Cricetulus griseus: one gene and its partners. The protein of the gene in region 4 interacts with the protein of the main gene of each other region in a pairwise test. Links are inferred from orthologs where the notes say so. Each region holds a gene or a part of one and is shown on either strand. Other genes may lie near its edges. The genes, in order: Fblim1, Pelo, Wwox, Lmo3, Pnma1, Gpatch2l and Cby2.

Region 1 (4,267 bases), on a different chromosome or scaffold from region 4:
TTTTAACTACCTTAACCCTTTCTTCCCACTAGAGGATCCAGTCTTTTTTCCCCTTTCTGTTCTTAAGGAGTTAATTTCAGCTCTCTGAGACCCAGTTCAGACTTCACCTGTCCTCTACAAAGCCTCCCTTGACTCCCACCCTGGGGCAATCTGTGGCTTCCTCAGGATAAGAACAGATCCTCATAGTACCGATGGCTCACTATCCATGTGTCTGATCCCCTCGGGTAACCTTGCCTGTCTTCAGCTGTCTGCATCAGGAGCCAGACAGCAGCTCACAGAAGCAGGTATGGAAGCAGAGATCTGTGCAGAGGAAGTACCGCCATGTTGGGAAGGGCATAGAAGCCTCTGGGGCTGAGGTCTAGGCGGGTCACTGGGGGTGAACTGGCCACCGAAGTCCTCCCTGGCACCCAACTATAGCACACCTGGCTAAAAATGTGTCCTTTATCTCCCTTCCTCTTTCTGTATGGGCCACCATGATGCAACTGAAGCCCAGTCATGAGCACTTGGGGAGGAATTTGGTTAGTCTCAAGCAGTGGGGCTGGACCGTTGAGGGGTCACTCTAACGGCAGAGGTGGATCCCACATGGTCACTCACAGATTTGCCTCTGATTCTCAAGGAGCATCAGCCCACATGGACTCTCCTGTTGGCTGACAGAGAAAAAAATACTATAAAATAGCTCTAGGGGCACCAGGCACTGTACGAGCCGCACACTTTTAATCCTAGCACTCTAGTGGCAGAGGCAGAGAGAGGCAGAGGCAGGCGGATCTCTGTGAGTATGAGGCCAGCCTGGTCTACATGGTGAGTTCAAGACAGCCAGGGCTACACAGAGAGATCCTTCGAAAGTATTTTTAAGCCAGAAATGATAATACACACCTGTAATCTCAGCACCCAGGAGGCTGAGGCAGGAGGATTTCCATGAGTTCAACCCCAGCCCCATAAATAGAACTTGTTTTGTAAGTTTTGGTCTTCAGAATTAAAACAGAAACCTTAACAGACATTTACAAAGTCAAGAGCTCAGACCTCACACCTCAGCTGTAGGGAGAGGCTCTGTCACACAGTCCCAACCAGACTGGTCCTCCAGCAGACTTGGAATGCTATCAGAGAAGAGTGCAACCTGGAAGTCCACGGGCATCCTTGAACTTTTTCTTCCCTGGACTGTACAAGTCTCCTCCCCCACCTCAAGTCCCTCCCCTTCCCCCAAACGACCCAACCCAGACCAGTTTCTTGCGGTCAACACATTCTAGGCGGGTCCCCTGGGACAGGCTGTGGCTCTTCCTAACGCTCCCCACCTCCTCCCCGCTAGTCTGATCCCGCTCCATTCTGCCTGCTTTCTCTGAAACGTCCAGCATGGAGGCCAGATGTTCACAGCTGGGCAGCCATACCCGCCCCTATCGGTGACAAGCAGCAGAGGGGACCTCGGGCGGGCCGTGGATGGAGCAGCGCTGGGGATTTTCAGAGCCCTGTCAGGTCCCGTAAGGAGAGCCTGCTGGCTCTTCCCTCTGGTCTCACTGCCCCAGAGTTCACCCTGGAGAGGGGGGAGGCGCAGTATGACTACTTCCCAGCCGACCCTCCACCCCCATCCTTCCTCCCCCGAGGGCAAATCAGACACCCAGATCCAGTCGGGTAAGCGGAGAAAGTGGGAACAAAGGGAAGGAAAGTCATTTCCTGTCAAAAGGAAGGAAGAAGGCTGAGAGCCGGCCAGCCAGCCAGGCCGGCTTTAGGCTACAGCCCCTGGGAAGGGATGTGCTGGCTGCCAGGAGTAGTCCCCTCGTTCCTAGTTCTTTCCTCCGAGTCACTTCTAAGCATCGTTCTTTCTTTCACACAGCCCCACAAAGCAATCTAAGTTTGGAGCCAGAATTAAACTTTGCTGGAGGCGGGGAGGAGGGTGTGTGTCCCCACTCACTCCCACAAGACACCTGGAAGTCTCAAAAAGTAAGGGTCTCTCATCCTCTCTCCTGCTCCAGAGGAGGAAGACGCACAGAGCTGCCTCCTCCCCGGCCACGGCTCCTACTGGGTGACCTTGCTGCAGTCACCCAGCGTCTCTGGGCTTGGTAGTTTAGTCATCAAGTGAATAGCCCTGGAGGGGGCTTCGAGGAGACCAGCTCTGGTCATTCAGCCCCAGAGGGCAGGCGGAGCCCTGGGGCTGGAGGACAGTGGTCTCTATTGTTGAGAGCAGGAATCTGGGCGCTGCCCAGTCTCTCCCCTGGGACCTCAGGTCTGGGCTAGAGAAGGGGGAGTAGCTGCACACACCTTGGGGATCGCTCATTCTCACACCCTGCCAGGAGACCCCTTCCTTCCCGTCCCCTAACTGGAGCTGGGAACAGGGCTCCAAGGCCGTGGGAGCTCGGGACCCCCCCCCACCCACACACACACACTCGCGAGCTCGCCCTGGAGCAGCAGCGGAGCGGGGCAGCTGGCCGGGTCACAGCGGCAATTATAATTCAACCCATGTGCGGAACGCTGTCGTCTTTGTGCAGGAGCTTCCGCCCTGCTAGCCCGTTCCACTTCAGCGCAGGGACAAGAACCCACCGCACCGTCCCGCACTCAACCTCCGGAGTTTTTAAAGGCTGAGATCCTGGGACACACAGGCACAAGAGAACACAGGGATAGTACCCGCCCCGAACCCCCCAGCAGCGCCAGGCTGGGGCCAGCGCCGTGGATGAGAGTTGCCCGTGCGGCCACCTGCGGGTGTCCCTGCCTGGGGCGCAAGGCTGGGACCCCCACGCTGAGCCCACTTACCTGCTGCGTGCCCCATGCTCCGGCCTCCGCTGGCGCTGCGCCTCCGCCCCTCGCTCCCGCCCCGGCCTCCCTCCGCCCTGCCGCCCCGCGCGCCTTACCATAAAAGGTGACGCTCGGGGAGGGGGCGCGGGCTCGCCCTACCTGCCCCCCCACCTGCAGCCGCGCCCCCTCCTTTTGTTTCCCGCCACTCCTCCCCCCTTCCCGTGGCTCCGCCTCCTCCGTCGACCCCTCCCCACTGTGCACCGGGGGATCTTTGGTCACCTTCCCCCTAGGTCACCTGGATGAGCAGCCCCACCTGCCCCATCTGGTGGGGAGGGGTACTTACATCCCGTTTGGCTCTGAGATCCTTCAGGGTCCTGAGTGAGGCTAGACGCATGACTTGGGACTGTTACCCTATCTCCCTAAACCTCGGGTTCTTCAATCCCTAAAAGGGAGTCCCTACTGCCCACCTCTGCAACTTGGCTTGGAGTTAAAGCGATAATGCTAAGAGAATCCGGGACTCGCATAGGCTGGGGTCATGGGCTTTTTCAAGGAATGCCTGGGGCAGGGGCCCCAGAGACCTCAGTGAGGCAAGTCACCTGGGTATGCTGTCCTGAGCTGTCAGTGCCTGCCAGAGCCTATTAATCCTTCCACAAGTGGGTCTCAGGTCCTACGGTGGGGAGGAGGCCCCAACAGGAGACCAGGAGCAGACAATCATGCCACCTGTTTGCTTCCTGGCCCTGTTACTGGCCCCTGAAGAAGCAGAGCCCTGGGGCCTGGGGCCTGGCTTGGGGCTGGGCTGCACAGGTCCCTAGAGGCCTCAGGACATTGCTGGGGAACGGAATCTGGGTCTGATTCCCAGGCGAGCAGATTGTTCTTTTGATTAAAGCCACAATAGGGGAGGGGACAGGGGAGAGCTGGACCCAGAGTCATCGCTGGGACAGGGGCAGCCAGGCAGGATTGGGTCCCCTTCTGCAGCCCACAGCCAATCCACTCCTCACAGCGGTCCTGCGGTTACTGCTGAAGGGACCACCCCACTAAGACATCAGAGTGGGGGTGCTTATCTCCATCCTCTTCCTCCACAACTGAGCCCCACACCCCTTTAACAGCCTTCTCTCCCTCTGTCACCAGCCTTTTCCACTTGGTTCTTCCTGCCAGTGTGGAGTGACAAAGACAGTCGCTACAGTAGCTGCCACCTCTAGAGGCTTCCCCTGTGTCCCTTTCAAACTTTTAACCTTTGCAGCCTCTACTCCAGGACTGAACTGCCCCACCTACAGACCAGACCCTGAAGCTGGTTCGGATCAAGGGTGGTACAATGGGCAAGGGGCGAGGTTGGATTCAAGCCAGACCACAGGGTGACCCTCCAGGCACATGAATCTGCTAGTCACAGAGGCTGGATCGCTGCCACCATCCCCAGGTAAGAGCCAAGGGTAGAGCCTGGTACTACACTGAGGTTACCTGTGCCCAAGGGCCCCTTGGGTATGGTCCCAACCTGGCAATGGGGCCTCTGCAATGGGTATGAAGACTCTTATGACCTCTGCTGGAAAAG
Region 2 (3,525 bases), on a different chromosome or scaffold from region 4:
GAGAAATGTCCAGATTTGCCACTCCTCGATACACAGTAAGCAAACCACAGGCTTTCATCTCATTTTTAAAGTCCAGAGACTGTGCTGAGAATCCCTAGTAGATCAGACCTCTACTGCCTGAAAATAACTGTCTACAGAAAGTATGATTAGAGCAACAAAGAGCAACAAGAGTGTTTTAAAATCGACTAGTTTAGCAAATCTCTAAAAGAAAATAACATTTTAGGCTTGGTTTTAATTACACTTTAGTAAATGTAGCCAAATCCTGAAAAAACAAAAATTAGAAAGAGGTGAGAAAATGCATAATTAAATGAAATGCAAAAACACCATGCAGAGTGAAAATAAACTTCATGAGAGATTAAAGATTTTTACAAGGAAAACCTATTAAAACAGGTACATGGGCTTTAATGATCAAGCCCAAACAGCAGACTCTTTTCCCCCTTAGATACTCAAATTGCTGTTTTCAGGTATTTAGAAAAAATAACTCCAATTAGAAACCATAATGCTGGGACATTCTTTTCTTTTGATTTATTTAATTTGAATACATGTCCTGCCAACTATAAAACACTAGTGTGACCAACACACCAGAAATCCCAGCATGATCAACAAGTGCAGCTTTTGCACCTGTCAAGGGACACTGAGAAGAAGTAACTATTAAATGTCAGTCTTAATCCTCATCAGAACTGGAATCATCCTCTTGGTCAGAAAGTTCCGGCACTGGGAATCGAAGAATGGCAGCAACTCCCGTCAACTGGCCAAGCTGTTCCCCAGACACATGGAGACTAGAGAATATCCGAACCGTGCCTGCGTTATCTTTCACGCTGTCCACCAGCCTGACATACCGGCTCCGGGTGGCCACATCCTGATGCCGGAAGAGCTCATCACTGATGAGCAATGTGTCGATCGCCAAGGCTTCGTTGGCCCTCTCCACCTGCTTGAGTCCATAGAAGGCTCGGTCAGGTTCGTGCTGTAACATTTTATAGAAGTCATCCAAGGCTTTTACTTCTCCAGCAGCTTTCGTGTCTGAAAGGCGGCTAGCTACAGTAGGGTCACAAAGGGCCTCTTTCAGGGAGTACTTGTGTCCAGAGGAGGCGTGTACCTAGAATCACAATTATAAAAGACAAAGAATCTTTGAAAGTATCCGTTAATCAGCCCACAATGGCGTAAGACAAAAGCATGAATAAGGCCTTATCTATTTAAGGACTTCTGCAAAGGTTACCTTATAAATGTGGTAGACCTACACCGTTCTCTTTACTGATTCATTTATAATCCCAGTTAAATTGAGTTTTAGCCTTCTACTACTCTAAAACATTACGAACCATTCACACCAATCCCTCTGCCCACTCCTGAATTTCTCTGGGTAAGAGTTTTTACCTGAAGGAATTTGGACCGGTTTTCCAGGAGCACTTTGTTGTCAGTCTTCACCGCTTGCTGAAACATGTAGTCGCAGAACTGCTCTCGAACAAACCCTGGGCTGGCCACCAGAACGCACTTTACAACATCAAAGTTGATGTGGCGCTGGATGGCCTGGACCACCTGTTCATAGAATCTCTCCAGGGCCTTGTCATGCTGGGAGCAGTTGCCTTTCCGTTTCCTGGGTATGTTCACCTCCACCTTGGCACGGGTGAGGGTCATACTGGGTGTCACTAAGCAGACGTGGGCGAGGCCCTCCTGCATGACCACAGCTGCCACATCAGCGCTCCACGCTGGGTCACAAGCCTGCTCGATGCGCTCCAGAACCACACTGTCCCACTGTTTCTTGGCCAGGGTGAACTGGCGGTTGGGCTCCAGTTCGATGGTGTGGTAAGCTCCCATCTTGACATACTCATTCTCTTGGATATTGGTCCCCTTAACTCGCAGCTGGCAGGCTTGAGAGTCAAAGTCGATGGCCTCCACGCAAAGAGTGAGGGTGGTGCGGACGCGGTTGCTCCCGACGCTGCCCGTGGAGGACTCGGTCTGGACCTTGCGGATGGTGGAGGCGCGCAGGCTGTCGCCCACCTGCACCAGATTGTAGGTGTGCCACATGTCCTCGGGCTCCTCGGGGATGAGGGTGACCTGGCCCGCATTGTCCTTCTCGATGTTCTTCCTCACAAGCTTCATGACCTCGCCAGGGGCTCACTTCAAAACAGAAGGCGCCGAGGGGGGTCCGCAAGAGACACAGAGGCGCGGGTGGGGGTGGGGTCCTAGGCTGGGAAGGGGACAGGAGAGAAACACTACCTCTAACTCCTGCCAGCCCGGGACAGGCTTTCCCCCGACGCTTTTCTGAGCCTCGGCGCGCAGATCCACGCTGCGCGGCAGACCCCACGCTGAGCACACACAAGCCGGCACTTTCAGTCACCGGCCCCGCGCAAGTGGCTGACGCGGCGATCGCGCATGCGCAGCCCGCCTCCCGGCGCATGTCTGTCGTCCCTACCGGAGAGGCGGGCCCTATCGCTTACGCGCGCACGCAAGCGCAGTAACAGGAAAGACGCAGCCTAGCTGAAAGTCAAGGGAGGTGCTAAACGGCTCTGGCCGCCACTCTTGAGAATTAAAGCCGAACTCCGGGTGGCTGAGTTTTCCCACGCCTCCCTGTGTACGAGGAACTGCGGAGTGTGTGAGTGCTAACGTAAGTATCTAAACTGAGTTTGCCACTTTGCACTTCCTTCCCTGATGTGGAGCCAGCTTCCAAACTTATGTAAAAGTGAAAAGAGCCCACGAAAGTGCAGTGCAGACTTAGTCCCCGAAGTCCAAACTCTGCCTGGTCTTGCTCATTCCTTCCCCGCACTCAGACGTGACGCGCGCTTGTTGGCACTGGGATTCCCAGAAGCAGTTTCTAAGGACTAGTCACGTTCGGCCTGGGCTCAGCAACATGCCCAACTGTTTTCTGCGACGTTACCCTGTTTGGACTACCCAGTTAACCCAGATGTTAAAGGACAGAACCCAGAGAGAGCAGAAGCTATGCGTGGAATGTACCCCTGGTGGACCTCTGGGTGGCTTGACCTGATGTCCTGGGAATCCCAGAATCCAAAATTGGCAGTCAGCTCTCCAAGGCTCAGTAGTCTCTGAGGCGCTCAGTGTGGGAGCTGGCCTGCAATAGATTAGCGCTGATTCTCCCTGCCAATAACTGGCCAAAAGCTGAGGCTATGGTAAATTAAGATAAACTGATCTACTAACTATGACCGCCCTCCAAAGAAGAGCCATAGAATTGGTTGTAAAGAAAAAGAAAAACCTTACACACACACACCCTTTTTTTTCACCATGGCGATGGGAATATAGGAATGCCTCTTTCTTGAGTCTGTAGACAGTGGGAAGCAGAGAAGTCTTGAGCTCACTCATACTCTCACTGTGTTTTAAGTATTTTAAGGATCAAGAAGGTGCTGCATAGGCTCTTAATGAATGAAAGGTCTTCATTGGAGTACAATCAACTTTTGGAAATTTCAAAAACACTTTCCCACTCTTTCTTTTCTTATAAAGAAAATGCTACCCTAATTTGTAGAAAAGTAAAATGAAATTCTGAGAAAGCTGATGAATGTGTTCAAGAGCATGTAA
Region 3 (3,500 bases), on a different chromosome or scaffold from region 4:
TGCCTTCCTTCCTGCTTGCCTGCCTTTCTTTCCTTGTTTCTTTCTTTTAAGCTGCTTGTCTTTGAGACTTCCTAAAAACTTTACAAAGGATTGATGTGTCTGTGTGACTGTATAAGGGCATCAGATCCCTCTACTGTCATCCTACAAATTCCTGTGAGGCAGGGCCTCTCTCTGAACCTGGACCTTGCTTTTTCTTGGCTCATGTGGAAGCCAGTAAACCTTTGGAGCTGGGGTTACAGTTTGTAAACACAGGATTTCTGACTTGATGAATGGGTGCTGTGTTCCAAACTGCAATCCTCACAATTGGGCAACAAGTGCTGTTAACTGCTGTGCCATCTCTGGAACTCCATTTTTCAAATTTTTATTACTACTGTGACAGTTTATTTTGGTCTCACCTGTTACTATCCCTGTAGTAATAGTTATAGTAACAGGTTCACCTGAAGTAAATGGTTTGTCAGCCATCCCAGTGAACTGCCTTCCTGGCATGTCTCCTCCACTGGGAGCAGGTAGGCCAGGGCTTGCTTTGGAGAGTCTGAGCAGTCATTGGCAGCTCCAGTAGGGCAGCCTCTCTATCAGGTGGGTGGGTGGATATTCTTTGCTACGTATTAGATTATAAAGAATTTACTCTCCCTTGATTTATAAAAATCTTTTACCTTATCAAAATAGGAACATCATTTCTTTAATTTTGTGTTCGAAATATCCTTTTCCACATTTTTCTTGGAGAGCGTGGCTGTAGAAATTCTTAGGCTCCCTGTAGCCGGACTCCTCCTGTAAAGCTGTTCTCTGGGTTGCTTTCCTCTTTACTGGCCTAGAGCAGTGGTTCCAAAGTGGACTCTCCAATCAGCATCGTTGGCAGCTCTTGGGAATTTATTAGATATACTCAGACCCCCTACTATCTGAAAATCAACTTGGGGTGTGGTGGTGGTGGTGTTGGTAGCCTATGCCCTCCAGGGGATTCTGAAACATGTTGGTTTGACTGGCCTACTATAGAGAGGGGTCAGCTAAACTTATCTGTAATGGATCAGATATTATGTTTTATGGTATGGCACTACATGGTTTCTGTTTTGAACAAAAAATGATGGCCATTGCTGTGCCCCAATAAAACTACAGAAGCAAGCTATGGCCACATCAGTCAGCTGCTGATCTAAAGGAGAATGAGTATGGGCTTTGGAAGTAAGCTAGGAGAAGGCTTTCCTGGATAGTTATTCTCTAGCCTGCTGCAGGGGTGTGCTGGGATATGCTCAACAACCAGCTCCTTAGGGAAAAGAAATGCACATTTGTTTCCATGTGCAGATACTGTCACCATCACCAGTTGTCGGCTACCAAGGTGGAATCACTGAGGAGCAGAGATGACAGCACAGCCAGCACTGCCTAATGTCAGCATTGTCACACAGGATCTCACTAAGTTGCTCAGGCTGGCCTTGAAATTGCAGTTCTCCTGTTAGCAGGGATTACAGGCCTATGCCGTGTAGCTCAGACACATACATTTTAAATCATAGTATTCTTTGTATATCAGGAGGGTTCTTAATAGTTTTAAACATGTTTATGACATTTCAAGGTCTTTATCTCAGATCGTAAGAATACACATAATTTTCGTATTACATTTTGAATATTTAGAGTGTGTATGTGCATGCATGCGTGCACATCATGGCCCACACATGGCCATCAGGACAACTTGCAGGAGTTGTTTCCTTTATCACATAGGTTTCAGGGATTGAGCTCAGTCATCAGGCTAGGCAGCTGAGCCATCTTGACAGCCCAAGAATGCATTTAAAAATGTAAAAATGGTATTAAAAGGAATAATTTAATAATCTATATGTGCCAGTGTATCTTAATGTTGTTTCTGTAAGTTCTAGATCAATTCCAAATCAGAAGTAGAGTGCTTATTATAGGTGGCATGGCCATGGTCTTAAAATGCACAGCATCGAAACTTTGCTATTTGGCTTGCTTTGTAGTTATTAAGACTTTCATCATTTCCACTTTCTCCTTGTATAACAGAGTTTTTAAGCCCTTGCGCAGGCCAGTGAAATTACATGGGCATGTATTGACGAGAGTGGCTGGCAGATCTTGCAGACGAATTTATATGAACACGAATTCAGTAGAAATCTAGAGCCTTCTCAGGAAGCTGTTATGAGAGCTAAGGGGCCAATTGTGTCCTTGAACCTTCAAGTAGTTCTGAGAGGCTTCATGGCTGTGTTCACAGGCAGAGTATGGTTCTTCTGAGGATGAGAAGATAGATCAAATGGGTTCTGGATCTCTCCATCTTTGACAAACCTTTTGGTGCACGAACCATGGTGTTTGCCTGAAGAATTAGAGTATTAGGGTATTTGGAGCTGCTGTTCCTTGCTGTTTAGAGTTCAATGCCCTTTCTCTTCTTTGCAGCCACATAAATAAAAGAACTACCTACTTGGACCCAAGATTGGCATTTACTGTGGATGATAATCCAACAAAGCCAACTACCAGACAGAGATACGATGGTAGCACCACCGCCATGGAGATCCTGCAGGGCCGGGACTTCACAGGGAGAGTGGTCCTGGTTACCGGAGCAAATTCAGGAATAGGTAGGCCCATAGCTTAACTGTCATCTTGTTTTTACTCATTTATTATTTTGTGAGTGCTACAGTGAATTCCACTTAAATATAACTGTAATGAAACTTTGGTAGTGAATCTCCAGTTTAAAGATGGTCTCATAGCTTTTTCAGCTGTCGTTTCATTAAAATCACAGCCTCCTTCAATCCCAGTGCTACAGTGGGAGGCTGTGTGGGGCCTGACCTTGAAGTTGCTCAAAGCTGAGAAGTCAGCAAAAGGCTGTGGCTATTTTGGTATTCAGGGGCTGGAGACAACAGGCTCTGGCTAAGAGTTTTTGACCCGGTCTGTGTGGTGCATGGATGTATTCCAATTACCTGGGTTATTCAAACCAAAATTGATTGGTAATGGGATACTGGACAATAGCAGATTGTGACTTTGGATCCAAGGGTACTGCAGGTTTCCACTGGTCACTGAGCCTATCATTTTCTTTTGGTAACCATATCTTATTTCTTCATAAAACTGGAGAATTCGTCCTTGTCTTCACCTCTGCAGCAACCCTCCTAATTGCTGCTGTTTAACCACAGTGGCCATGGTGAGGTCAGTGGCTTCTCGGACTGGTGCAGTGGTAGCAATGAGGCAGGCACTTGTGCATCCTGAAGGATGGGTTTTATTTTGTTTTGGTCCATTGACACCTAACATTAGCATCTGAATTGCTTTGAGATAGGATATGCTTCTGCAGATTAAAGAATAGAATTGCATCCAGCTGTCCTCTGTCAGGTTTCTTTCTGTCCTTCTATCACAGTGCCCCTCATGACCTTTCTCATGAGCTTTTCTCTATTCTCCTCTCTGTTTTTCCTGATTTTGGAGTTCTCAGCATCATTTTCCAGCAAGTGGTACCATAGCAGATCAGCCACTGTTTGTGTGGCAGCTCTCAGAGCTTGAGATTGCCATCCAAGATACAATCAGTAAAT
Region 4 (4,063 bases):
GCAATCCACAGACCACCCATTAACACTGTTTCCTCTCCTAGGCATAAAGTTTTAAACTTAGATAGACAAAGATATGAAGCACCAAATATGAATGCATTTAAGAGGGTTTCAGAATGGAAAATGAAGCATTTATGATTCATTTCTCCTCAAGATAAGTAAACTCTCTCCTTCCTTCTGATACCGTGTGATGAAGGGTTCAGCCCTCATTACCTCCTCTGCCTGTAAAAGAAAATCACATTGGTAAGGGGCATGAACGTATGCCCACAGCCAAATGAGTTTCCCAGCTACCAATGTCACATGAACTACACATAATATTAGAATGTTCCTGAGCTTTCATCGGAGAACAACTTGTGTGGTAGAGCAGCAGAGGAGGGAATGCAGGGAAGAAAGCAGGGTGGCTGTTCTGTGTGCCTGACAGGCATGGCTGTAGTGCTCTGAGCTGTGGACCAGCAGCAGATTTGTGCTGAAGAGCAGGTGGTACCCCTGTAGCCTGCTTTCTGCTCCTTTTCTTTGAAGGAGCTAAGGGCCTAGTGTAGATTAATCATAACCCTTGATAGCTCTGCTAAATCTCACTCTCTAGAACTTCTAACAAATGAAGTTTCTTTGATCAGAACTAGTTATCCTTTGCTAGCAAGGTCCCACAGGCATGAGTCCCATTAATTACAGTGCACAACAGGCCCAGGTGCCTCTTAGTCATATACTTGGGGGAAAAGGGGGATTCTGATTTACTAAGGAAGTCCGGATTTCATGACTGAAAGCATACAGAGGTATGCTAAAGGTAACCGTCCTAATTATCTAATTTGAAGTCTGTGTTTTTTATATCACACACCTAAAAGATGAAAAAGGAATTCTTCTTAGGAAGCTAAGCTCCATTATTTCCAATGTTTGTGACATTATTATTAAGTGTAAAGGTTCAGCTATCTTTATTCAAAATAAATTGTAACCAAGACAGCAGATACCAACATTTGGCACAAGGAATATTATACTGCTTGTCTTCACAAAGCGTTTTTGTTGTGTTGACATTTTAATGTAGCACCCAGAGGCCAATTAATAACTGAAACTCTTTCATTCTGTTTGGCCTTGTGTATAAAAGAAGTTTGATATTTTCTATTCCATCCTCATATCTTCTTTTAAAGAACACTAACCCCTTTTCTCTTGCAAATGGAATCTGTTCCATTCTATGCATTTAAAAAAAATGTAGGCAAACAATCACTTGGTCGTCACCACGGTGCCAAGCACCTAAAAAGCAGAAAGCACTGAGCAGTCTCTGCTCTTGATCCAAGAGAGTACGTCTGGGGAGAGTTATGTGTTCGTGGCTAAGAGACACTTCACAAGTTGCTCACAGCCCATCAGCACTCATAACTAGTTTTAGATTGGCATGCAAATTGTTCTGAGGGAAATTCTTATTGCCTCTGAGACCCTGCCATTCTGAGTTATTTGACAGTTTAAGGGAAATCATAATTTTCAAAAAAGACATAAATAATAGCCTGTGCAGTGTGCTGTGCAGAAATAAGTAGAACCGTTTCATTTAAACTCTGGTGAGCTTTTAATTGCCTGGATTGCATTGTGAGAAGGCCTGACGGTTGATTGCATCCATTATGTTCCCTTGTTCTGTGTCATTCATCCGCACAGTCTTAGCTTCAGTAGTTAACACAACAAAGTAACCACAACTCCACAACACACAGGGGCTTAAAAAATAATCACAATAATGAAAGATGCGCAGCACTTAGGCACAGTGTTTTTTCTTTCTTTCCTTCTCTCTCTCTCTCTCTCTCTCTCTCTCTCTCTCTCTCTCTCTCTCTTTTTACACCAATGTATTATTTGGACTGATCACACAGAATGAATGGGAAACATTCTTTCCCTTTCAGAAGATTTACAGAGGACAATTTGGGGAAAAGGAGAAGGGGCTCTGTCAGAAGGGCTTTTGGAAGAGAGGATGCTAAAATTGGGACTGCAGGTTTCGCAGCTGGGAGCAATGACATAGATTAAAAGAATTTGGCCAACACAGCCTTTCGATTGCCAAGAGTACCAAACAAAAGATTTTCTCTCCTCCTGCCCATCTTCATCCCACTCCCAGTCACTCCCCCCAACCCAGATTGGAAAACTGGATTGGGCCTAAAAGCTTGTTTCTCTCTGTTCACTGGCCCAGAGCACCCCTACAGGCTGCAGCCCCCTAAGGGAAAACAATGCAAATAGATGTCCCCAAATCTCTGGCACTAGAGCTGCTTAACTCTGTTCTGCCCCTTCAACTCCCAACCCCCCTCCGTGTCCTTCCACCACCCTCCCCTTTTTGAGCAATGGAGCTGGGAACCAATTTGATTCCCTTTTTCTCCAATGCAGCTGCAAGGCTCAGAGATACTGACATTTCCCCACTCTTATCAGTTTAATTACAGTTACCATGGCAGCAAAGTGCTAGTGCTTGGCAAAGGCCAACAAGAGATTTGCAAGACTGGGTTCAATTTTGATGCAGCTCACATGCAAAATAAAAAAAAAATAAGAAACATACATACACTCTAACAAAGAATCCCCTTGCGGAGTTTATGATCCAACCTTTTGTGGCTGTGTCTTTGCAGCAACACAGGAATGGTTTTGCAAAGAATGTACCAGTATTTATGGCACCTAGCGAGATTAATTGGTGGAAAGCAGCAGTCTTTAAAAGCAGTAGACACAATAATATTTCGTGTCTTCAGCAACAGAAGAACTGGCAGGCTTTGGAGCTAGCCACGAGTGCCGAGCGCCCCGAGAAAGTGCATCTATGAAAGACTGTAACCTTACCAAAACTTTTCTCCTGTTTCTGCATGAGTTGTCTTAGGCGTGCCTGAGCCGCTGCAGCTTCGCATGGAGCACCAAGCCCACAGGCAGGAAGTAGAAGAGGGGAGTCACTTTTGGATTTGGGGCCCAAGCGTGGATCTGGTGAGCAGCGTACAGGGCCGAGGATCCACTATTGTGAGGCCACTTTGGGAGCTAGGGTCTAGTGGTGAGGGAGGCAGGCGGTGGGGGAAGGGACAAGGGAACGTGTAAAATGATGGCGAATGACAAAGCCACATGCTTCCCTAACTCTGCCCGTAATCCTAAAATCCCAGCGGCCCCTTTTAGCTTCCTGGTAACAAATGGATTTGATTAAACCGTCACACGCAGTGTTAGCATAGCATATCGTGTTCGGTATGAAAAAGATCATAAATCTGACTTGCGTTTCATAACAGCAATCTGAGTAGCCCCGATTAGAATGTGCTGAATCTCTAGACCTGTTAGGATGCAGGCACTTGAATCCAAGGAACCTGCCTCTACTGGACACTTGTCTCCTCTTTGCATGGTCCAACATAGTCACTTTTGCAACACACAGAAGCAGTGTTTTGTTATTAGAGCTGCCTTGGGTAGAAGCAGGGGTGTGGGCAAGAACAAGGTTGTAATTTCAACTCTTTCTTTGGGGAGGGCACGGATTTCACCAATCAGGCATGGAGAGGGCTGAGAAAACACCCGAGACTGACACCACTTCCCTTAGTCTGGAAGCATTACCCCCCCCCCAAAAAAAAAAAAACACCTTTGCAAACTGTCTCAACCCCTCTTCCGGAATAGGGTGTCTGGATGCCGCAGCTCCCAGTGAACTTTGTCTATTATGCTCTGGACTCCTACTTGAGATGTCACGCTGTAGCCGCACGCTCCCCCTCTTCCTCAGGCATCCTCATCTTCCGCCCCGCATCTATTTTGTGTCTCATCATACAAAATAATGATGCCTCCCACGATTTAAACAAAACAAACAAACAGAAATCGTCTCTGCAGACCTGCAGCCAGTAAAGTTGCAGCGGTGGTGGTGGTGGTGGTGATGGTTCGCGTGCAGCTTTACTTTATGCTTCATTGGGAGAGGATAGGGAAGAAGAAGAAGAAGAAGAAAACCACCCAACATCCGCACACGCACGCGCGCACCCGGAGACACACACAGCACAAATAAGCCGACGCGTGTGTACACAGCCTCTTACTTACCTTCTCAATTAAGCGATACAGGGGAGGGTGTTCAGTGAGCACAGAGGCTGCTTGGTAGCGCTTCTCCTTGGGAAAGGTCAAA
Region 5 (4,113 bases), on a different chromosome or scaffold from region 4:
GCCGGAGCTAGATAGTGAGACTGTATCTAAAAGAAATAGCTGGGTGAGGTGGCTCACACCTGTAACCCTAGCACTGTGGAGGCTGGAGGCAGGAGGATTGCTACAAGTTTGAGGCCAGCCTGGGCTACAGAGTGAATTCCAAGCCAGCCTCAGCTAGCTATCGAGTGGGACCGTGAAAAAGAAACAAAACAATAACCGAGGAACCGGCAACACAAGAATGTGTAGGTGATATTGCAATTTAAGCTCATAGCAAGGAGATTAAAAAATTTTTTGACATGAGCAAAAATGTGCAGAGAAAAAATGTGCAGAGCTAAGTTACACTGAAAATTTTTTATACATGTCAGGAAAAGCAAGATGAGAATTTTCACATTTTTATTTGTATACATCTATTTGATAACTTCAAATTTAGAACACTTAGCATCAACATGACCAATAATTAAATGACAAATAATTCATGTGGGGAAAATGTAGCTTGTTTATGGAAATTCCCCCTGACTTATATTTGTATCTTACACCATGAAAAGTAGGTTGTGCCTCTTCATAAAAATCACATTTTTCTAACTTGCCAATTTTAATCCTAGAGTACTTTGCTGGTAAACTGGTTCTGATGTTGAGCCGTGAGGAATGAGAAATCTGAATTTTCAAAATGAGCAGTATCATCTAACAGACTCATATTCTTCCCATGTATATAAATTAGGGACAATGTACAGTAAAACTATCCACAATATTAGTAACAAATGTCAGTCTGTACCATACAGCCTGTGAAGCAGGCTTGCACTTTCACAATCATCCTGACAGGAAGTGTCTCAGCTTCACATTTTTCACAACTGTCAAAGATGTCACTAGGAGGGCTTGCATCAAGCATTCATTTTAGGCAGTATGAACCACCTCTACTGTTGCAGCCCTGGCCAATCACGCAATTCTGTGACTGCTACACAAATACGCAGGCCTGACTCCCCTATCCCATCCCCCAGAAAACAAAACAAAAACAGGAGGCTAGGTCTTTACTATGAGAGGCAAGGCTTGTAAAACCGCACAGGGATAACAAAAGCAGCCAGACTGATCCAGGGACTCAGAAGTGCCCCTCCAGGCCTAGCTGCAAAAGGGCTGCCTCAGCTTCCTCTTCCTCCTCCTTGGCTTCCTCCTCTCGAATCTGCACCAGCAACTGGAAGAGGTTGGGTGCCGGTCGTTCCGCAGCCCCAGTCAGCCACAATTGCCTTCGGATGGCCCCACTGTGGTTGGCCCCGGCGATGACCTGCTCCAGGCGAGCCTGGTTCACGTTATCTTTATCAATGGCCCCCTTTTCCACTACCTTTTGTAGCAGAGGCTCCAGACGAATGACGTAAGATGACAACTTTTCCCCGGGGTTCTGGTAAGTGTTCAGAAATCTGACCTGTGTATCTCTAGAGCTCTCCACGCTCCCAAACACCTGCTCAAGAGCCTTCAGGCATTCCGCGGTGGTTATGGCTGGGTTGTTGGTCTTGAGGATGCGAATGACATCAGCAGCAGGGCCTCTCAAACTCTCCATCAACCGCCGTCTCTTTTCTATATCAGACACCTGCCATTCTTCTATGACCTCATTCGAGTGCTCCAGCCAGGAATCAAAGGTCTCCTCGCCAGGCCCGGGAATGTCCCTCCCAGAGAATAGCGTCAGCTTCTTATACCATATGGACTCAACAAGAGGTTGAATAACATTATCCAAAATATAATTGAGCATCTCTGCTGGCATTTCTGGGCCTGGAGCGGGAGCAGGGTTCTGAAACCCAAGCACACGAGCAACATCTTGCACAGTCCACCCTTCCCTAGCTAGAAAGAGGTGCAGCCTCTCCAGAAACTCCGCATCAGAAGTGGGGGGCTTAAAGAACACTTTCCAGAGCCCTCCTTTGCCTGGCATCTCTCTAGGGATCAGGGAGTAATCCACTTCCCCGGTGAGCTCTAACAAGGCTGCCTTCGCATTTTCTTCCCTCCAGAACATTCTCCCCAGTACTCGGTAGGGCACTTGGGGCATGGCAGCTTGGAGGGTCTCTTCGATTTCAGCCTCATCACAGTTCACAGGGATCCCCCAGACCAGCAGAGCTCTCTGAGAGTTCACATCCATTCCCCTGCACCAGTCTTCCAAGAGCGTCAAAGCCATTTCGCCCCACTATTAAGGGTGCCAGTTCTACAGACACCGACTGGACTGGCTCGCAGTGCTATAGGACCTAGGACAATACAACATGCCTCCCTCCCCCGGGTAGGCCAGGGGGCGACAAGCTTCAAGCAACCACAATTACCAGTGACACCGGAGTCCAGTCTCGTCCCTTCCGGGTCCCAAAGTCAGTAGTGTCAGGTGCCTCGGGGCACTCTGCCTATCGAATGTCGCCCTCTTTGGTCCGAGCAGGTGCGGGCTGGCCGCAGCTATTCGTGGCCTCACGGCGGGCAGGGGAGAAGCAAGGTTGGCGCAAGGCGGTGGGCTTCAGCTTCACGAGGGAGACGGCCGGGTGCGGTCGCGGGGTGTGGCAGCTCCCCCCCGCCGCTCTCGGGCCGGCCGGCCGGCGGTAGGCGCGGGCGTAGGGTCACGCGAGGCAGTGGCTGGGAAGACGCCGGGAGAGGCGGTACTCGGGTCCGGCGGCTGCGGCAGCAGGCGAGCACCGGGGACGGAGGCCTCAGGGAGGCGCGGAAGGCGGGAGGCCGGATGGAGGCAGCTCCGCTCAGCGTCTAGAGCAGCGCGCTCCCGCAACGGCCGCCGCCGTGCAGCTGCAGTGCAGGGCGGGGCCGGTCCGCTCGTCAGTGTCGCCGTGGCAACCGTATCCATGACGACGGGAGATGCGCGAGCTCCAGAGGATCTGGCGGTTGCTATGGTACCGAGGGGTTGAGGAGTCTATTTTGTGATGGCGCGCGCGCGCGCGCACACACACACACACGTATTTCCCAGCTTCTTTCTTAACAATAAATATTGCAAAGCATCGTTTTCTTTTTTTCTTAATCTAATTTTGCTGTGAATTTAAGTTGGCCTTATTGATACGCATCCACCACGACAGACTTGTCTGTCTCATGTTGCTCATCCAGCTTATGCATTCACTATGCAGCCCATGAAAACACTCAGCACTCTGACTTCTGCGTACCTCCTGACCACACACCACAGCTGCTGCTTGCTCCTCCCCAGGAAAGCAAAAGACAGAATGCCATCTCCAGGTTCCTGTGAGACTTACTATGCTTTCTTGCCTAAATTTTGTATATATATATATAAAAAAAACCAACAAAATGCTGCTGCTGCTACTTCTTTGTAGCCAGGCAAACTGCAAACACTTTCATTTCTTGATCTTACTGAGTATACAGGATAACAAAAGAGAATGCTTAAGGCTCAGAAAGGTAGGGTAAATTCTCTTCAAGCAAGGCCTGTCAATCCCAGCTGGCAAAAACATCCCTATAAATCAGGCGGGCCTTGGTGGCCCATGCCGTTAATCCCAGCACTCGGGAGGCAGAGGCAGGAGGAGCTTTGTGAGTTCAAGGCAAACCTGATCTATAAATTGAGTTCCCGGCCAGGCTCCAAAACTACACAGAGAAACCCTGCCTCAAAAAATCAAATAAATAAATAAACACACAAACCCCACCCCTATAAAGATATGGCATTGGGGGCTGGATAGAAGGCTCACTGGTTAGGAGCATTGGCTGCTATTCCAAAGGACCTGGGTTCAATTCCCCGAACCCACATGGCAGCTCACACCTGTCGGTAACCCCAGTTCCCAAAGATCTAACAACCTCACACTGATACACATGCAGACACAGAACACAAATGCAAATAAAATAAAAATAAACAAATCGTTACAAAAAAAAGAATATGGCGCCGGGCATTGGTGGCAAACTCCTTTAATCCCAGCACTCGGGAGGCAGAGGCAGGCGGATCTCTGTGAGTTCAAGGCCAGCCTGGTCTTCAGAGCAAGTTCCAGAACAACCTCCAAAACAATACAGAGAAAACGTGTCTCAAAAAAAAAAAAAAAAAAAAAAGGAAAGAAAAGAAAAAGAAAAACCAAGAATATGGCATTCAACAGTGAATTTTTTAAAATTTTTATTTAATAAAAGGTCTTAAGATACAGAACATTCAAAAGTAAATAAGTTACATAGGTACATTAC
Region 6 (3,500 bases), on a different chromosome or scaffold from region 4:
TTAAAAGAACAGAAACTTAGCTAATACACATAGCTCAGCAACTTCAGGAAAATAGTTAAAACCCATGATGCGTTGTTCCTCACTTGTACATAGCAGAAGTAGCGCAAAAGATGGCCATAAATCCTGCCTTTGCATGCTCTGAAGCAAATACAATCCACACTCTAGCTTAACAGTTCCCAAATCTCTCGCATGCGACCTTCATGACCCTTTCTTTATCTGCCAACTATATGAACTGTTCATCCAGAATTTTCTTTACACCAATTACTTACACTCAGTTTTGTCCTATTTCCACCAGGTAAGTCTGACATAGTAATTACATTTTTCTAACATACATTATAATATATAACTTCAAATACGTAATCTAAAATCATCTCATAAACACACACTGGTTTTATCTTCCACTGTTCTAATTATTGTGAAACAGCAACTTCCCAGTGAACTTTGCAAATATAAACTGTGTAACATAATAAAATGCTAAGTAGTCCCCAAAATAAACAACCAGTCAACCATGGAGCAAAAGGAAGCCTGAGAAGGTTTGCCCATCAGTCTCTATGAACTTCACAGCTCAGAACTAAGGTTAGGCAACCCTTACCTCTAAACTGAAAGAATTTCAAACATCTATAAACCTAACAACAACCACTGTGAGTTACTTTTAAATCATGGATCCTCCTCAAAGCCAAAATGTATTAAGGCATCCCTAAAGGGGAGTCAAGGAAAAGATTAAGAGAAAAAAGCTCCAAAGTCTTGATCATTTCCCCAAAAGGAGCTCAGCCTTCTGCCTCCTATGCTCAGACAGTCACAGCACAGGATTCGAATGGCAAACTAACCCAGAGACATGAGACTCACTTTACATTTTTAATCAATTGAAACAATAAGACAATGGGTTCAATGGTTAAGAGCAAATACTGCTCTTCCAGACGACTCAAGTTCAGTTCTCATCAGCATGTCAGGCAGCTCCCAAATGTCTGTATCCCCAGCTCCAGCACATATGATACCCTATGGCCTCTGCAGGCATCTGAGCTCACATGCACCTATGTACATGGACACATAAGTAAAAATAAACCTTAGGGGGGAAAAGCTAAAATAAAACCAGGCTTCCCTTGAAATGTGTTACAAATAAGAAGCTGACAACTGCAGCTGAACCTAAGGAGGGAATTGGCTACAGTTCTTTCAGATGAGCACAGAGCAGTCTTGGAACTCAGCTCTCAAAAAAGTCAAGAGTGATGGAGAGTGATCTTAGTCACCTCATGTGCACAAGCAAAAATGTGAGGAAAATCAGAAGCCAATGTTTTATTCTTTCTAAAGAAAAGGAAACTGAATGATAAAAGATGACCCCCCAAAATTATCTTACCTGCTTTCGTTCTCTTTTCCCAGCTGATGGTAAGCAGAAACTGAAGAGAGAATAACAGGAAAGAAAACAATAAAAGAAGTGATAGGAAAAGTAAGAGGGAAGACGATCACAGGTGGGATACTGAGTGAAGACAAAGAAGGAACTGGGAGCGATGCAGCTGAAGGAGAAGGACGCCAGCTGTGTGTGAACAACAGTCTCCCTGAAGTAACTGCAGTGGAGAAGGCAAAAGTGGAAAGCAGAAAACTAGACAAGGAAGAGCCAACTAAGACACAGCCTTATCTCAGCTGTGCATCGAGAAAAGGACTCAAACTCCAAAATCAGACTAGGTTTATGTATAGGACTGCTCTTGGGTACTGACCATAATGATTAAGGAATAAACTATACAATTTCTTTAGCATATACAAATGTGGGCTGCTTTTTTTTTTTTAACATACATAGTTGATATGTATGCATGTATGTGTGTGAATGGAGGAATGTAAGGTCACAGGTACACACGTGTGTGGAGGTCAGAGGTCATTGTGATGTCTTCCAAGCTCACTCTCCACTTCATTTATTGAGGCAAGGTCTCTCACTGAACCTAGAGCTCCCTGCTGGTCAGCTTGCCCTGGGATCTACTTGTCAAGGGCTGATATTACAGGCAGGCCTACCATACCACCTGCTTCTTTATGTGGGTGCTGGGGATCCAAACTCTAATCCTTATGCTTGATCCACTGAACCATCTCCCTAGTCCCAATATATATGTATTTATTCAGCAGATATTCAAATTTTAGCCATGGAAGACCCATAAGAAGACAAAGCACACAGCAAAGCCAACTGTTTAGGAAATGAAGCTGTTATGAGAAAGGCAGCTCCATTCATGATTCCTACTGCATTCACCATGGTAACAGGGACAAAAAGATTTCTCCTTAAAGAGGCCTGAAGGAGAACAGAAGCATTTGGAACAACCATTTTAAAAAAATTAAGAGAGAAAAATGCATTTAAAATATAGTCTCTTAGTGGTGGATATTAATATAACACCTAGAAACATAACAGGCAACAACAACAACAAAAAACTACTCTAGAAAGAAAAAGAAAAATCACTGTCATGATTTAAGACTTTAGCCATCTTAAAATTTTACTTTTTTATTATTGTGTATGTCATAGCATACTTGTGAGGGTCAGAGGACAACTCTATGGAGTTGGTTCTTTCCTTCTGGCTCTGGGATTAAACTCTGGTCATCAAACATGCAACAACAGGTGGCAAGCACTTTTAGCCATGAGCCATCTTGCCAGCCTGATTTTACCCATCTTAACTGTTAGCAAGCACCAATCTCTAAAATGCCCTCTTTCGGTTCTCAAGTCTAATAGAAAGATTGCTTTATAGAAACCCTCTCTACCTCCTTCTCCAAGGACCAGGCTAGGACAGCAGTAGGCACTTAGGTACTTACTCTTTCTGCCGGGGGTCACTGATGATATGGCTTATCCTCTCGGTTCCTAGACTGCTTATGCTGGTTTCCTAAAAAGATAAGAAAAAGAGTGTCATCAAACCACAGAAGCAAATATATACAATTTAAGCTGTTACCAAGCTAAATTTTTCTCTAACCATACCAAGCAATCTTAAGGTTGTATCAATCTTAAAATCCAACAGCAACTATTTTTTTTTTAATAGGAGTACATCTTAGAAGTATCATCTATTACCTAGCTATTCTCTGCTGACTTAAAAGGCTTTTAAAAAGCCGTTATAAATACTGTTTGTTGGGCTTGGGATATTTTTCTATTCTAAATTTAGTTTTGTATAAGTGTGTGTGCGCAGGTACACGTGTGTGGGCACTCATAAGTGTGTGCATGAGTAGAAGCCAGAAGACTATCTCAGGTGTCATTCTTCAGGCACTGTCCACATTTTTTGAGACAGAGTCTCTCCTGGCCTGAGCTTAGCTATCTTCCTCCTCCCCAGCGCTGGAATTACAAGCATGCCATTGCACCCGAGGTGTTTCTCCCATATTGTTCTGGGGAACAATCTCAAGTCCTCCACAAGCACTTTGCCAACTTGAGCAATAAACTCCAGCTCTGTTTATTTTTTAATTGACACATAAGTGAAATATAAAACTAATACCAAATACTGTTTCTTTTTCTTTTTAAAGATTTTATTTATTTATTATGTATACAACAT
Region 7 (4,252 bases), on a different chromosome or scaffold from region 4:
AGAATTATCCTCTTCCTGCTTTTCAACACCAGCTGCTTACTTAAGTGACCTAGAGATGACTGCTGACTAAGCCTGGCTGGCCATGAAAAATCTCCAGACAGCAGTGACCTCTTCCTTCCATATTCTTCTGCCTTCCAAGATCCAGGTCCCACAGCACAGGAAGTAGGCCTGAAAGGACCAGAACAAACCCAAGACTCCTCAAACACCTTTTCTCCTTGACTGCTAAGCTGGCGCTGGGAGCTAGGGACAAAGTCATGCCAGGGGTAGATGGATCTTTCTAATCTTTCTATGGCATGGCAGTAATGAAGGCTTTGTGTCAGCTTGCTAGATTAAGAAACACCCAGGGCATTAGCAAGGCACACATCCTTGATGTGTCTGTGGGGACTTTATGGGGAAGGACTAACAGAGGGGAGGCCCATACTTAATGTGGCTAGTGCTTGAAGGGACCAGCTTCCCTTTTGGCAGCCATAATGACCAAACACGTGCTCTATGACCTTGTCTTAGTCACTAGAAAGTCAGATGCCTGCCTCGTGACAAGGAAACAATCAGAAGTTAGTCACTAGAAAGTCAGATGCCTGCCTCGTGACAAGGAGCCAATCAGAAGTTAGCTGATAGCGCTATGCTTTATGACCCTGGGTGTGCTTTATGGACAAGCGCACAGCAATGACGCACAAAGCATAGCAACCACCCTGGGAGGGCCTATGGGCCATAACAGCCAGTTGACCAATCAACACAGGGCAAACCCTCCAAGCCTGGAGGCACACCAATCCTGAGCCTGTGCATACCCCTAAACACTCCCCTTATGCTGCCCTATAAAGATCTGTATGCAGCAGCTTCAAACTGTCTTTGCTAGCCATCTGCCATGGTGGGTGGGTCAAAGACCCGAGCTAACATGGTGTTAGCTCGTTAAACTACAATAAAGCCTCATGCAATTTGCATCTAGCTTTCGCCTCCATTCTGTGATTGGGGTGGCCGAGGTCCTGGGCTAAGATTCTGGAAGCCTCAGCTTTCCAAGGGTCTTACAGTGCTCATGAACTAGCATCCTGGACTGAGAAAAACATGGATCTGCAGTGATGTGAGGCAGCGGCCCCACCCCATAGCTTCCACTTCACAACAGATTTACCCCTCAACCAAGATCCAAAATAAAGACTTCCTCCCTTAACTTGCTTCTTGCCAGGTATTTGGTCACAACAATGTGAACAGCAAGTAATACACCTACTTTCAAATCTTATTCCCAGCCCCATTCCCACTCCCACATCTGGGCTGGTATCTCCTGTCTGCCCCTAACATGTGGGCTAATAAAGGTACCAAAGGAACCACGGCCACCCTCATGCACAGATGTGTAGTTTATGTGTCAGGGATCAGACCTAGCAAGGTTCCTTGTTCTTCTATAGGATGCCCAGGACATAGTTGCCTAATAATCTGGCTTAGCTATCATGAGCTGAAAGAGATGTAACTGTGGCTGCTTACTACAATGCTGTAAGGAAAAAAAATACCCAGGTGGTTCTCTTGTCCTGTGTTTCTGTCTCCTTCTCACCATATTTGCTGAGCTCATTATAATTACACTAATAGAGAACACCAGCCAGAGATCCATCCTCTTTGTACATACCTCCTGAGACCAAACTTTTAGGGAAATTACCTGTGCCTTGGATCCCTCCATCCTACATTTCTCCTCCACTGGTTGCATGACCCTGGTCTTCCAATGAGCTCTTGGGTAACACTGGAGAAAGCAAGGCCACCCCTTTGTGACATAGCAACAGAAGGAACACTCAAGTAAAAGGGGGTCCCACTGAGAAAGTTGCTGTGTGCAGGAGATCTGGAGACCACAAGCTATAAGTGTTTTAATCATTCACTGGCTTCAAAAGAAACAAGTGAACATTCATCCCCAGTAAACCATCTTTGGCCCATGGCAGGGCTTAATCCTCTTGACCATTGCAAGTGGGCTCCATTCTGGGGTTTCAGCTCCTGTGTTCATTCTTATGCATCTGGATTCAAGGTTGACTCTAGTTCTCTACAGATGTCCTGAGTGGTTATACACTACCATGCAATGAAGGGTCTCCTTTGGGAAGGTTAGACTTTTGTCATAGTATCAACAAATCTTGAAAGGCTAGTGCTGGAGGACCTGACCATCCAACTCAGTCTCCTCATTCAAGGCCAGAGGACCCCAAGGTTCAGAGAATCCATGTGTCCTCCTCAAGACAAATGGGCAGGAAAACAACACCAACATGACAAGAATCTGAGTGGCTGACTTCGCTGTTCATTCTGTAAGGCTTGGAAACAGGGTTATTCTAGCAAGTTACATTCTTCCATGATTGTCCCTACCTGAGGTAGAACCACATTGATTGGAATTTCTAGGCTTTCAGATCTGGTATCTCTCTTTCTTGTAAAAATTGGCCTCGAGTGCTGTGAAAAAGAAAGAATCAGATTTCTCCTTCTCAACCCATCCTCAGGGCCTCAGTGGCTCACCTGAAACACATAACCTCTTTCTACACATTTATGTCCTTCTGACTAATTTTATACCTTATAAAAATCACAGTCTCAAGGCATGTGTACATGGCGCCTGGCCAGAAGTCTTACTGCTCAGTGATCAGGAACTGATCGACACTGATCACTGAACAAAAAACCAAGACAGGAATGAACTGATATGAAGCCCTCTTACAAGAAGAAATCATTGCAGCTCTTCCTGGTTTTACACTACGATTTCTATATAAGTAAAAAGCCATACCAATGTGAGGTGCCAGGTATAGGTCCTATGCATAAGCTGGTCACCAAAACACTCAGAACATTCCAGAGGTGACATCACAGAACAATATGGTGTTTTTCTGAGCTCATGGTTTCTCTCCGGGCATCTCAGGTGGGAACGAGGCTTCTGCAGGAAGGAAGAATTGCTGCTGGCTGTGCTCAGGTGGCCAGCCCGGGTCAGTGTGACACACAATAGCCCTTGTTTGGTCAGCTGGCTGCCACTCACACCTCACTGCCAGGCTGGCTTGAACCTCTCTACCTCCCATCAGAGGTGGCATCTGTTTCAATCACATTAATTAGGAAAAGAGAAACATTAACTGTCTAGACCTGGAGAGACTTGGCACTACTGAGGAACTCCAGTCCAGTTCCACTCTGATAATAGCTACATGTCAGGTTCCGAGAAGTTAGGGGCTCGGCCCTAAAAGATGATCTTTTACTTCAAGTACCAATCCCATATCAGGGCCACCTGTACTTGTAACTGGTTAGCCATGCAGGGGTTACCCTAAGCTGCTCCTCAGGTTCAATAGCTGTCTCTCAGAACACAGGAGAGTAATTTACTTAGGATCACAACTTTAAGAAGCATGCAGCTCAGGAGGGGCCAAATGGTAATGATAAAGGGTGAGCTGTTTGACAGGGTAGTGTCGTAAACCTTCTGGCCTTCTCTGGACACACCTGCCTCCCAGCATCTTCAATGTCTGAACCCAGTTGTTTAGAGGTATTTGTGGAGTTCCATTATGTAGGCAAATTTTATCAAATCATTAGCCTTTGATCACTTAACTAAATGTCAAATCCTTCCAGAGGTAGACGTTTGCTGAAAATTCCAACCTTCTAATCACCTGATTGGTTCCTCTGACAATCACCCCCCACCCCCAAAGTCATTCCCCTAGCATAAACTGATGTGTTTCAAAGGAGGTCCTGTCAGGAAATCCCAAGGGTTTAAGAAACACTGTTCTGATAGAAAAATACAACCAAACATATCACATGTAGAACCTGCATTAAGGCCAGAACACTCATCCCTCCATCCTTAGCTCTGTCAAATCTGTCACCTCCAGATCCATTTAAGAGCCCCAGTTCTGTGTGATTTTGCCCCTTGGGGTAGGAAGAGAGTAGGTTTCCGGGGTTTCCTCAATGAAACCCATGTTCCTGGGGTCTGGATCAGTCCCATGCTGGTAACCCAGCTATCAGTCTGGGGAGCAAGAGTTCCCCCATGTTCAGATCAGTTGTTTCTGTGGGTTTCCAGCCTGGTCTGGACCCCTTTGCTCTTCACTCGTCCTTTTCTGCATCTGGATTCCAGTTCAGTTCAATGATTAGTTGTGGGTGTCTGCTTCTACTTCCACCAGCTGCTGGATGAAGGCTATAGGATGGCATATAAGTCAGTCATCAATCTCATTATCACGGGAGAGCATTTAAGGTAGCCTCTCCTCTGTTGCTTAGATTGTTAGCTGGTGTCATCTTTGTAGATCTCCAGACATTTCCCTCGTGCCTGATTTCTCTATAAAACTAAAATGTC

The links.
Region 1: the proteins of Lmo3 (region 4) and Fblim1 interact in binary tests that used the Homo sapiens proteins (3 or more experiments, as listed by UniProt). The two-hybrid records come from large-scale screens. The link is inferred for Cricetulus griseus from reciprocal best matches to the Homo sapiens genes LMO3 and FBLIM1.
Region 2: the proteins of Lmo3 (region 4) and Pelo interact in binary tests that used the Homo sapiens proteins (3 or more experiments, as listed by UniProt). The link is inferred for Cricetulus griseus from reciprocal best matches to the Homo sapiens genes LMO3 and PELO.
Region 3: the proteins of Lmo3 (region 4) and Wwox interact in binary tests that used the Homo sapiens proteins (3 or more experiments, as listed by UniProt). The link is inferred for Cricetulus griseus from reciprocal best matches to the Homo sapiens genes LMO3 and WWOX.
Region 5: the proteins of Lmo3 (region 4) and Pnma1 interact in binary tests that used the Homo sapiens proteins (3 or more experiments, as listed by UniProt). The two-hybrid records come from large-scale screens. The link is inferred for Cricetulus griseus from reciprocal best matches to the Homo sapiens genes LMO3 and PNMA1.
Region 6: the proteins of Lmo3 (region 4) and Gpatch2l interact in binary tests that used the Homo sapiens proteins (3 or more experiments, as listed by UniProt). The link is inferred for Cricetulus griseus from reciprocal best matches to the Homo sapiens genes LMO3 and GPATCH2L.
Region 7: the proteins of Lmo3 (region 4) and Cby2 interact in binary tests that used the Homo sapiens proteins (3 or more experiments, as listed by UniProt). The two-hybrid records come from large-scale screens. The link is inferred for Cricetulus griseus from reciprocal best matches to the Homo sapiens genes LMO3 and CBY2.

What each region holds. Positions count from the first base shown.
Region 1 is NC_048595.1:11,653,187-11,657,453, reverse strand, and holds the start of Fblim1 (filamin-binding LIM protein 1), read right to left. Parts: upstream 2,801-4,267; 5' UTR 2,740-2,800; exon of another isoform or gene 1,230-2,739; intron 1,158-1,229; exon of another isoform or gene 1,021-1,157; intron 1,002-1,020; exon of another isoform or gene 874-1,001; intron 1-873. UniProt on the Homo sapiens protein: Serves as an anchoring site for cell-ECM adhesion proteins and filamin-containing actin filaments. Is implicated in cell shape modulation (spreading) and motility.
Region 2 is NC_048595.1:332,905,155-332,908,679, forward strand, and holds Pelo (protein pelota homolog), read right to left. Parts: upstream 2,340-3,525; 5' UTR 2,098-2,339; coding exon 1,372-2,097; intron 1,097-1,371; coding exon 665-1,096; 3' UTR 501-664; downstream 1-500. UniProt on the Homo sapiens protein: Component of the Pelota-HBS1L complex, a complex that recognizes stalled ribosomes and triggers the No-Go Decay (NGD) pathway.
Region 3 is NC_048596.1:191,035,241-191,038,740, forward strand, and holds part of Wwox (WW domain-containing oxidoreductase), read left to right. Parts: intron 1-2,382; coding exon 2,383-2,561; intron 2,562-3,500. UniProt on the Homo sapiens protein: Putative oxidoreductase. Acts as a tumor suppressor and plays a role in apoptosis. Required for normal bone development. May function synergistically with p53/TP53 to control genotoxic stress-induced cell death.
Region 4 is NC_048601.1:10,636,350-10,640,412, reverse strand, and holds the start of Lmo3 (LIM domain only protein 3), read right to left. Parts: upstream 2,801-4,063; coding exon 2,776-2,800; intron 1-2,775.
Region 5 is NC_048598.1:119,613,575-119,617,687, reverse strand, and holds Pnma1 (paraneoplastic antigen Ma1), read right to left. Parts: upstream 2,801-4,113; 5' UTR 2,135-2,800; coding exon 1,073-2,134; 3' UTR 346-1,072; downstream 1-345.
Region 6 is NC_048598.1:117,541,193-117,544,692, forward strand, and holds part of Gpatch2l (G patch domain-containing protein 2-like), read right to left. Parts: intron 2,847-3,500; coding exon 2,779-2,846; intron 1,392-2,778; coding exon 1,352-1,391; intron 1-1,351.
Region 7 is NW_023276807.1:229,960,913-229,965,164, forward strand, and holds the start of Cby2 (protein chibby homolog 2), read right to left. Parts: upstream 2,801-4,252; coding exon 2,726-2,800; intron 2,404-2,725; coding exon 2,323-2,403; intron 1,688-2,322; coding exon of another isoform or gene 1,640-1,687; intron 1-1,639.